Macaca mulatta: one gene and its partners. The protein of the gene in region 2 interacts with the protein of the main gene of each other region in a pairwise test. Links are inferred from orthologs where the notes say so. Each region holds a gene or a part of one and is shown on either strand. Other genes may lie near its edges.

The links.
Region 1: the proteins of APPL1 (region 2) and FSHR interact in a two-hybrid assay, tested with the Homo sapiens proteins (2 studies listed by BioGRID). The link is inferred for Macaca mulatta from reciprocal best matches to the Homo sapiens genes APPL1 and FSHR.
Region 3: the proteins of APPL1 (region 2) and UBE2O interact in binary tests that used the Homo sapiens proteins (3 or more experiments, as listed by UniProt). The two-hybrid records come from large-scale screens. The link is inferred for Macaca mulatta from reciprocal best matches to the Homo sapiens genes APPL1 and UBE2O.

Annotation. Positions count from the first base shown.
Region 1 is NC_133418.1:75,836,756-75,840,115, reverse strand, and holds part of FSHR (follicle-stimulating hormone receptor), read right to left. Parts: intron 408-3,360; coding exon 1-407. UniProt on the Homo sapiens protein: G protein-coupled receptor for follitropin, the follicle-stimulating hormone. Through cAMP production activates the downstream PI3K-AKT and ERK1/ERK2 signaling pathways.
Region 2 is NC_133407.1:120,802,262-120,805,914, reverse strand, and holds part of APPL1 (DCC-interacting protein 13-alpha), read right to left. Parts: intron 906-3,653; coding exon 759-905; intron 1-758. UniProt on the Homo sapiens protein: Multifunctional adapter protein that binds to various membrane receptors, nuclear factors and signaling proteins to regulate many processes, such as cell proliferation, immune response, endosomal trafficking and cell metabolism.
Region 3 is NC_133421.1:86,153,339-86,156,991, forward strand, and holds part of UBE2O ((E3-independent) E2 ubiquitin-conjugating enzyme), read right to left. Parts: intron 2,000-3,653; coding exon 1,940-1,999; intron 1,753-1,939; coding exon 1,642-1,752; intron 1-1,641. UniProt on the Homo sapiens protein: E2/E3 hybrid ubiquitin-protein ligase that displays both E2 and E3 ligase activities and mediates monoubiquitination of target proteins. Negatively regulates TRAF6-mediated NF-kappa-B activation independently of its E2 activity.

The DNA of each region.
Region 1 (3,360 bases), on a different chromosome or scaffold from region 2:
CTGATGCAATAAGCAGCAGGTAGATTCCAATGCAGAGATCAGCAAAGGCCAGGTTGCACATAAGGAACCTGGGGACCGTGAGTTTATATTGGCTGGTAGTTAGGATCACCAGCACTATGATGTTCCCAGTGATGGCCAGGATGCTGATAAACCATATCAGGACTCTGAGGATGTTGTACCCCATGATATCTTCACATGGGTTGAATGCATCTGGCTTAGGGGAACAGGTCACGTCAGCCACTTCATTGCATAAGTCATAGTCAAACTCACTGTACATCATGTCAAATCCTCTGCTGTAACCGGGCTCATTGTCTTCTGCCAGAGAGGCTCTCCGACCCCTAGCCTGAGTCATATAATCAACTTCTTGCCTTAAAATAGATTTGTTGCAAATTGGATGAAGCTCAGAACTAGAAAAATACAAAAAGAAATAGAATCAACATCTCAGATCCAGAATAGCAAATACATCACTGTCTTTGTGCAGGGTAGAAATGATGGGTTTCCTCCCGAGATTTTTTGTTTCTTCTCACATCGTATCTGCCCTTGAGGCTAAGCTCAAGGGTTAATGCTGCTTACTGTAAATGAATATAACAACTTGTATATATATTACTAGAGTTGGATGGCCCACTGGGGAAACCATCTTGCCACAACCTGAATGTGGGGAGGAAGGCGCCTGAGACTAAGCCTTGCTGTTAAGTGAAAATAATTTACAGACCTGGTATCAACTCTACCCTTTTCCTTCTCTCATCTTGATCCAGCTATCTCTTAATATGCCTGAGTAGGAGATATTCCTATTCTTCTACACTCAAATCACTGGAAGATCCAGACTGTTCTCTCACTCAAATGAGAACTTATTTGCTTCTCTTATCTACATAAATTAGGTGATCAAAATCTAGTTAGTTCCCAGCCAGCCCCTGTTCCCTGGCTCTTTGGTTCTCAGGCTATTAGGAGGCCAGCTAATTTGCCTGCAATGCTACCAGGGTCTTTCCTGTTCTTTATTATCTCACTTTCTGGGGGCTACAATAGACCTCAGACATGTGTTTGTCTGCAAGGTAAGCCTGGCTGTCTCATATTAGTTTCCTAGTGAGTGCCCCAAAGAGCAAGTGCAAGTTGCAAAAGGACCTAATTTATTCTAAGAATGTAACTCATCCTCGGGGCAGCCTAGGTCTCCTTGGGCTCACTTTGCTGTCTTGGTTTTCCCTTTAAACACAAATGTACAAGGGGCCTTGTGAACAGCATAGAGGTACTTACAGAGGGATTTGAATGAAATCCAGGTGATAAATATTCAATCCATGAGTATACCTATAAATATTCTACCCCAGAGTAGTCTATCAATACTCTGGATGTAGAGACATGGAAGGTATTCAGTTTGGAAGTAAAGGCTTATGGAATGGGAATAACCCTTACATTGGGACATTTTTGGATGAAAAAAAAAATCACACATACACAGGCATACCTTTCCCTCCTTCCCCAAGGGGCAAGTTCACATCTATATTAAGTTGACTGTATTTTTATTAAACCTTGACATAACCTCAGATATAAGCGGGGAAGTGAATATTAAAACCCTCATAAGGAGGAAAGAAGTGGCTAGGGGAGTGGAGGAGGTAAAGACTCCATTTGATGCTAAAGGATGAGTCTCACCAGGTGTTCCAACCTATTATACATGGACTGAACTTTTCCCCATCTCTGCCCATCCTCTCTTCTCTCACCCCTGGGAAGTGAATTGAATTGCCAGGAAGTCATTTTCCCTTGGCCTAAGGGATTCTTTTTGTTTGTTTAAGGCTCAATGATGAACATATACAGAATTGAAAGTCAATGGAAACAGAGCCCAGAAAATGTTTTGATTTAGTCAGTGGTCTTCCAAGGAAGGTGAGGCAAGCTCCATAATGGGCGTAGAGGGCATAAGAGGGTTATCTTGTGGTCCTTAGTCTAATTCCCAACTCTTAAACCCTGTTATGAACTAGCTGCAGCCTGATTCCAGGAAGAGAAAGTAAGTAACCTGGTACTTGCTGACTGCAGTGTGGTTCATTGGATTGAGATCTTACTTAACTCTCTAGAAACAGGCTTCACTTCCTGGGACTTATGGTTGGCGTCTGTGAAGATTCTTATTGTTGTTGCTGCTGTCCACATATTTTAAATATTGTGCTTCCCTTTTCTGAAACAGAAGTGACCCACTGACATGAAGTAAGGAAAAAAGTAAATAACTTATGTCTCTGAGATAAGAACAGAAACAAAAGTGGAAACCGAGGGACATCAAACCTTGCCTCCACAGTACTTTGGAAAATCCTAACTATCATAAGGATTTGGAAATTCAGTTTAGGGCCAGTTTAAAAAGTGGCACTCTTGGACTCTGATCAGTCAGTGAACAGATGCTTGCGGGTGGTGTAGCAGTGTCCCAGAGCCTGAGCTTTGGAGGCAGGCAGAGCAGATCTGGATTTGTTTGGTCAGTGTAGGTCAGGTTATTTAGTATCTCTGAGCCTCAGTTTCTGTCTCTGTGAGAAACGAATAATAATCATGTTACCTTTGTGGAAATTAAATGAGATAAAGATACAAAGTATTACAGTGCTTGGCAGTGAATACTCAGCAAATGTCAGCAGTATGAAGACAAATGGTGGTTATTTATGGAATTCTTGTGGAGGTATAGGCCATGTGTGGGTACTTAGAAGCATATGCCACAGCATGTCAATTTAATATTGAATCGTGAAGAAATGGCCTTCACAGCATTGTGTTGTGAAGAAACAACTTGTATTGTTAAATACAATAAAAATTGAAGAATAAAATGAGAGTAAAGTAATGCAAACTGAATACAGAATTATGACAAGGAAATATCTGGTTCAATGACAAATGAAGAGTGTAGTTGATAGGAACTTTTGGGAAGAGCCCAGGAAGAGTCCAGGAGGACCACTGGCCAAAGTTTTAGTCACAGGGGCCTCATGTTTATACTCTGGGCATTATTTCCAAATGAGGATCAGAATAATTTCATCATACAAGTTAAAACTTGAATCCCACTACTAAACCACACCTACTGTGATATACAATGAAATGATACTATCAAAGGAATAAATCTGAAATTATCTTCTGAATAACATAATTATTTTGTGGTGTTTGTGTGTGTGAATTTGATGAATACAAAAATCAAATACCCATTGCTAAAAATAAAAAACGAAAACCATCTATCACAATTTTTGTTACTCCATTTTGGCACGTTGTGGAAGAACCACATTCCCCTCCTTGCTGTACCCCAACAGGCCTGGATGGTGAGTTACAGCAGCAACCTAGAGGGATGAGAGCAGAGTGGTCTGGAGGGATCAGAGAAGACCTCATGTCCTGGGACAATATAAGGCAGATGTGGAGATGCCAATT
Region 2 (3,653 bases):
TTGTCATCCAGACTGCACAGTAACACCTCATTGCAGCCTCAGCCTCCTAGGCTCGAGGGATCCTTCCATCTCAGCCTCCCAAGTTGCTGGGACCACGGAGACATGCTACCAAGCCCAACTAATTTTTTCAATTTTTGTAGAGATGGGGTCTCCCTACATTGCTAAGGCTAGTCTTAAACTCCTGGACTCAAGTGATTCTCCTACCTCGGCCCTACCAAAGTGCTTGATTATAGGCATGAGGCACCGCACCTGGCCTCAATTTTCTTTAAACTCTTAATTTTTAGGAGACTGACACTTTGTCTTATACTACCCAAAACAAATTTCTAGCCCCCTTCCTGATGTACCTTGGGGCACGCTGGAGTTCATCTATTATTTTTAACTCAGGAAGTATGCAAGGAATATGGGATAAACTCAAACCTGTTCATTCTCTTTCAGATCTATTATGAAGCAAGTGTTTAGTTGAAGCTCCAGCAATAGGTGTAACTCTGAAATTCATTTAGCTTTCTGTTCTCAGTCCCCAGCTACGGTGAACAAGTGGTTTCATTTACCCTAAAATATTTGAAATCTTCATTTGCAAGGAAAACCATTCTTCCTAACTTCCTTAAAATAACAGTCTGATGACATTTTTTAAAATTACTTCCACAGACATGAACAAGGATGTTGAAAATAGTTTATAAATCTTTATACTTAATGTAAATATCAAGCTTAATATAAAGCTTTTAGGACAGTTATAATCCAAAATACAGTACAGTATTTACCTGAGCTTGCATGTACCCAAGTAGAGGTTCTAACAATGCTATTTTCTTCTTGTACTGAAGAGTATTTAATGCACAAAAATAATGCATCATGGTCTGGTGTTGTTTCTTTCTGGACGTGTACACATCTTCTGTTACTTCATACTTCACCTTTGAATGAAAAGATTTAAATAATTAAGTAAATAATCTACTATTATTTACTTAATTTTGTATTATCTTCAGTAGGAGCTGTGGAGAAGAGCCCACCGAGGAAAAGGTGTATCACAAGCAATTGAGCATTGATGTTCCTGTTTCTGATCTTTTAGAAATCCTTCAACATACTGGTTAAGCGAATTTTCCTGTTTAACTTCCTTCCAACCACATAATTTACAAAATGCACATTGAGGCCAGGCGTGGTGGCTCATGCCTGTAATCCCAGCACTTTGGGAGGCCGAGGCAGGAAGATCACTTGAGGCCAGGAGTTTAAGAGCAGCCTGGTCAACATGGTAAAACCCTGTCTCTACTAAAAATGGAAAAAAATTAGCTGGGTGCGGTGGTACATGCCTGTAATTCCAGCTACTAGGGAGGCTGAGGCATGAGAATAGCTTCACCCTGGGAGGTGGAGGTTGCAGTGAGCCAAGATCACACAACTGTACTCCAACCTGGGCGACAGAGACTGTCTCAAAAAAAAAAAAAAAAAAGGCATATTGAAAACAGAATTCTGTACATAACTAAGAATGGTACAGTAACTAAACTAAGCATGGCAGAGAAAGCTTACCACATGGAGGAAGGGCAGACAATTGTTTGTTATTAGTTTAGCCATTAGTCTTTGACTTTGATCAGTTCACAGCATACCAGTCTCCCCTCCTGGTTCTCTCCCTATCAGTCTTCCTCTCTTGTACTTGCTTGTCTTCCCTCACCCATACTTGAAATATGTGTGCTCCCTAGAGTTCTTTTATTCAGACAACATATATTTATTGAATACCTATTATGTAATAGGCATTATGTTCTTCTGTCTTCCTCCTTTCCTTAGAATCCTCAAGTACCAAGAATATTCTAATATTCCAATATATCAATGACTCACAAATTTTATCTCTTCCCTCTCACTCTCCCAAGTGACAGAGGAAACGCATCTCCAGCTGGGTTCTTTATGTGTGTTTATGTGCTACAAATGTACAAAACTGAAAATAGTTTTGTACACAAAACCTGTTCTTCTACTTTGTTTCTTAGCTCTCTTAATTACTACAGGATCCATCCAGACATCCAAGAAATCTAGGACTCATTTTTTATTCCTCCTATTACCACAAGACTTGTCAATTCATACTTAAGAAATATCTCTCGGCTGGGCGCGGTGGCTCAAGCCTGTAATCCCAGCACTTTGGGAGGCCGAGACGGGTGGATCACGAGGTCAGGAGATCGAGACCATCCTGGCTAACACAGTGAAACCCCGTCTCTACTAAAAAATACAAAAAAAACTAGCCGGGCGAGGTGGCGGGCGCCTGTAGTCCCAGCTACTCGGGAGGCTGAGGCAGGAGAATGGCGTAAACCCGGGAGGCGGAGCTTGCAGTGAGCTGAGATCCGGCCACTGCACTCCAGCCTGGGCGACAGAGCGAGACTCCGTCTCAAAAAAAAAAAAAAAAAAAAAAAAAAGAAATATCTCTCAAAAGTACTCCTTCCTCTCCACTTTCAGTAACAACCTTAGCTGAGGCCTTCATTATATCTTTGCAAACTATTCCAATTCCTTTCATTGGATTCCCTCTAGTCTTGTCCTCTTCACATTTTCATTAGTATGTTTGTTCTATAACACAACTGCATGATGTTATTCACCTACTTAGAATCCTTTGGCGGTTGTCCACTCCCTCTAACACAAATTTCAAGGTCATTAATATAGTAATCTGGTACCAATATACTTCTTACTCTTTCTGCCATATCTCCAAACATTTCCTTTACTGTCACAGAGTACTCCTAACCTTTACACTCTCCCAACTCCACCATGTGCCTCTGAAAGGCTGTTTTTCTTTCAGGAAAGCAATCTCCAATTCCAAACTAGTGTTATCCACTTATCTTCAATGTAAATGTCACCTTTTAAAAGTGTAACCTTTGCTGGCCGGGTGCAGTGGCTCACACCTGTAATCCCAGCACTTTGGGAGGCTGAGGCGGGCGGATCACCTGAGGTCAGGAGTTTGAGACCAGCCTGGCCAACACGATGAACACCCACCTCTACTAAAAATACAAAAATTAGCTGAGCAAGGTGGCTCACACCTATAATCCCAGTTACTGGGGAGGCTGAGGCAGGAGAATCACCTGAACCCAGGAGGTGGAGGTTGCAGTGAGCCGAGACAGCGCCACTGCACTCCTGCCTGGGAGTCAGAATGAGGCCCTGTCTCAAAAAAAAAAGTGTAACCTTTCCCAATTCACCAATCAAAGCTAACTGCTCCCCTCTCTGTGCTCTCTCCGCATTTTATTAAAACCCCTATTATTGTATTTAACTAATAACAGAGTTAATCCATGCCTTCTTGTCATCCTTGTACTCTGGTTCCTAGTCGACTTGCATGCCTTCACACAGGTAGCCTTCAATAAATGTGGAGTATCCAGTCTTTGAGGGCAGGAGTGAAGCCTATTCCCATTGTTCCCCCAAGGTACCCAACAGACTGTTTGACATATATTAGGTACTCAATGAATTTTTAAATAAAATGAAGTTGGTGAAAAAGTGTTTTTTAAAATACTTTGAACAGCCAGAAGTAATGTAAAATATATCAAATTTTATACCTAGAGCCTTTGACTACTTCTCTAAGGCCAAGTGACTATTAGAGATCTCAAAATGTATACATTTTATCAATACACCATTAAGTAGTAGTCTGCAGCGAAAATTAGAAAACGAAAAGGAAATCAATCTTCATACTAAACTTTGTGTGAGAA
Region 3 (3,653 bases), on a different chromosome or scaffold from region 2:
GCGGGCGCCTGTAGTCCCAGCTATTCCGGAGGCTGAGGCAGGAGAATGGCGTGAACCCGGGAGGCGGAGCTTGCAGTGAGCTGAGATCCGGCCACTGTACTCCAGCCTGGGCGACAGAGCGAGACTCCGTCTCAAAAAAAAAAAAAAAAAAAAAAAAAAAAAATACCATTCTCTGAAAGCAATGAGGCTTCTTGGAGAAATGGTTGATTCTGGGGCTGGACCACAAAGAGTACAAGATGAGCCTGGCACACCTCATGCCAGAAAGAAAGAAAGTGCTTAAAAAACCAACAGAAAGGGCCATGTGAGAAGGACATGAAAGCTAGCTTGAAGTGGCTCCCACTGGCTAAATCTGGGACCATCTAAACAACAGAACAGATAATAGTAGTAATTAATTATAACCAATGAATAAAACAGAAATCTCTAAGTTCATACTGATAAAAAAAAAAAGAATACATAAATGGGGCAGAAGATAAAGCTCTTCTACAGAGCAGAATGCCAGCTAAAAGAAATGAGGGGGAACAAGGGAGTCATAAAACCACCATTTAGCAACATCAGAGCAATGGCTGGTGCAGGCAGGACTGTGAATGGACGCCAAAGCTGGTGGATTTCAGTTTGACAAATGACAGGGTATAGACATAATCTGGGACTATGTTCCCACAAAATACAATCACTTAAAGGGGGTAAATGGTGAGTTTACGGTGGAGAGATCTGGTGGACAACAACATGACCAGGAGTCAAAGTGAACAACCCCAGCACTTTGGCTATGGGGTACCATGGACCAGGGCAGAGCTCTGCGGCGGGTCTGCAAAGAACACGTGGGCATGAGGCAACACCAGACAGACCCAGGCTGAGGGTCAAGTTACTGAATGCATCACTGTTCAGGGCATGGAAGACAAAGAAAGGCTGGGAAACGATTCCAGATTGGAGAGAAAACGAAGAGATGACAACTCAATGCAAGATGTGTTCCTGAATTGGGTCCTGCATCCGCAAAGAAAAGAGTAGTGTTGGGACAACTGCATGTGGTCTGTGGACTGGGCAGTAATTATCAACGTCCACTTCTCAATCTGGGGGTCATATGGTGGTTACGCAGGAGGCTGTCCGTATTTTTGGAAAACACACAAGAGGTGTGTGTATTTGGGGGTGGGTGACAGGGCATCATATCTATAGCTTGCTCTCAAATGTTTTGGGAATAAAAAAGACTGGAGGGGGATCTCGGGGAGAAGGAGGGAGGGAAGGTGATGGAGCAAATGGAGTGAAATCTTAACAGCTGAGGAACCCAGATGAGAGGGACAAAGGAATTTACAACTTTTGGTAAGTTTAAAATCATTAAAAAAATAAATTATTGGAAATAATTAATTTTTTAAAAAGAAATATTAGAGGAGAAAGGAAAACACTTAAAGATAACCACACTGGTAGCCTATGCTGGGGTTGGGGAAGGGCACGTCCTGACCTCACATCTAAATGGCTTACTTGAAAGCAGGGAAAACAAGGCTATAGGAGCCAGCTGGCTGCTGTGCTCCGCCTTCTGACCCAGGAAGGCTGTGCTTGGCAAGAGCAGGGAGGAGGCTGTAGCGCACAGGTCGTGCCGCCGAGAGAACCAGAGGGCCCAGAAAGCATGATGAGAAGACAGGGCTGGCTCACCCAGATGTGCTGTAGGTCCTTGCTGTTTACAGGATAGATGATGCAGTTGGTGCCGATGAGCTTGACGGCGCAGTCGATGTTGACGTCGATCACCGTGCCACACTGACTGTCCTGGGGGAGGGAGGAGGCATATGCAAGTCCTACGGTGCAGCAGCCCTGGTCACCATGGGAGACCCAGCCCAGGCAACCCCAGCACGCCCCCTGCAGAGCTGGCCAGCTCTCCCACATACAGAGCACAAGGTGGGCAGGCTCAAGTCCCTAAGGGGGCTGCACCCCAGGCCCGGGACGCAGGACTCACGGTGGATCGCATGTGCCGGACCACATCTCGGGGCACCACAGAACGGTCCTCTAGTTTCAGCTGTAAAAGAATGGAAATGTGAGAGATGTGAGAGAATGGGCTCTAAAGCCACCACAGAATACGGTTTTCTTCCAACTTCTTCTGAAGTGTCACATCCACACTGTTAAGTGCACAAATCCTAAGCGTTTGGCTAGCAGCATTTTCACAGACCGCACACACCTCCGACCAGCACCGCGACCCAAGGCGGAGTGCGTCATGCCCACAGGCCTCCTGGGGCCCCTCTGGTCACTGTCTCGCCCACCAAAGGCAAACACTCGGCTCGCCGGGGGTATCCTTCCTCACGCTGAACAGTGGGGCTCAATGACAGATCACATAAGGTCGCACTTTAATGAAGGATTTAACAGCCCATTCTACAGAGAGCAAAACATTTGCTTTGCGTTAAATCTTTTTTCTGCCCTCTGCAAGTGCCTGCCCTAGCTGATCAGTGCTGAGGGAGAGTGGGCTGGGGGAGGAGCAGGACACCGGGCTGCGGTGGGTCACCCTGAAGCCTGGCTATCACCGGACACCACGTTCTAATCTGGGTTATCCTCCTGACCAGCTGCGGCCTGCGCCTTATCTGCTGTGCTTGGAGCCCTGCAGGCTGCTAAGTAACCCTCAGGATGGTTGGCTCTTGGAGCCCGGCCAACTGCACGAGCACCTGATTGTCCCTTTACGCACAACTGGCAGCGGCCGCTGCCTCCTGCTGCTCCATCTCCCAACAGCCCAGGCAGGAGGCCTCAGCCTGGCCTCCCACCAGGCCAGCCTGCCTTCTTTTTTAGCTGGTTCCTCCAACCTGGGGCAGCTCCTCAATGGTTCTTCACTGAGTCATAATCAGGGACGGGTCTGTGTGTGTGTCCACCTCCAAGACCCCAAACCACATGGCTGGAGAGCGGTTTCCTCAAATAGCCAACCAGACACTCCTCCTTGACCTGGGGGCACCGAGAGTTCACCACCAAGAAAGGAGAACCAAGTCACTGAAAAAGGAAGACACTGGCTCAGGGTCACTTAATTGCTGGCAACGACAACTAAAACAAACTCTGTTAGTAGAAGAACATGACTCACAAAAAAAGGAAAGAAAAGCAATGGAGCCCAGCACCAACCAGCAGTGCAGAGAGTCCCACAGGAACTCATGAGCCCAAGTTTTGTTTGTTTGTTTTTTTATTGAGATGGAGTCTTGCTGTATTGCCCAGACTGGAGTGCAATGGCACAGTCTCGGGCTCACAGTAACCTTCGCCTCCCAGGTTCAAGCAATTCTCCTGCCTCAGCCTCCCAAGTAGGTGAGACTGCAGGCACGTGCCACCACACCCGGCTAATTTTTGTATTTTTAGTAGAGATGGGGCTTCCCCATGTTGGCCAGGCTGGTCTCGAACTCCTGACCTTGTGATCCGCCTGCCTCAGCCTCCCAAAGTGCTGGGATTACAGGCATGAGCCACTGCATCCAGGTATGATCCCAAGTTTCAAATGACAACGAGCCCAGTAAATGCAGCGTTCTCGAGTCAGACACAGGAAAGTCAGGCAAACCACTCCTGCCGACACGTGGAAGGAGGGATGACGGCAGCCGTCTCAGCATGGCTGAGGCGGAGTCACCAAGGCAGCGGACCACAGGTGGCACAAGGTGCACGGTACAGAGTAGGTGCTCAGCAAGGCCGGCAGCTGTGATCACCAGCCCTGTGAG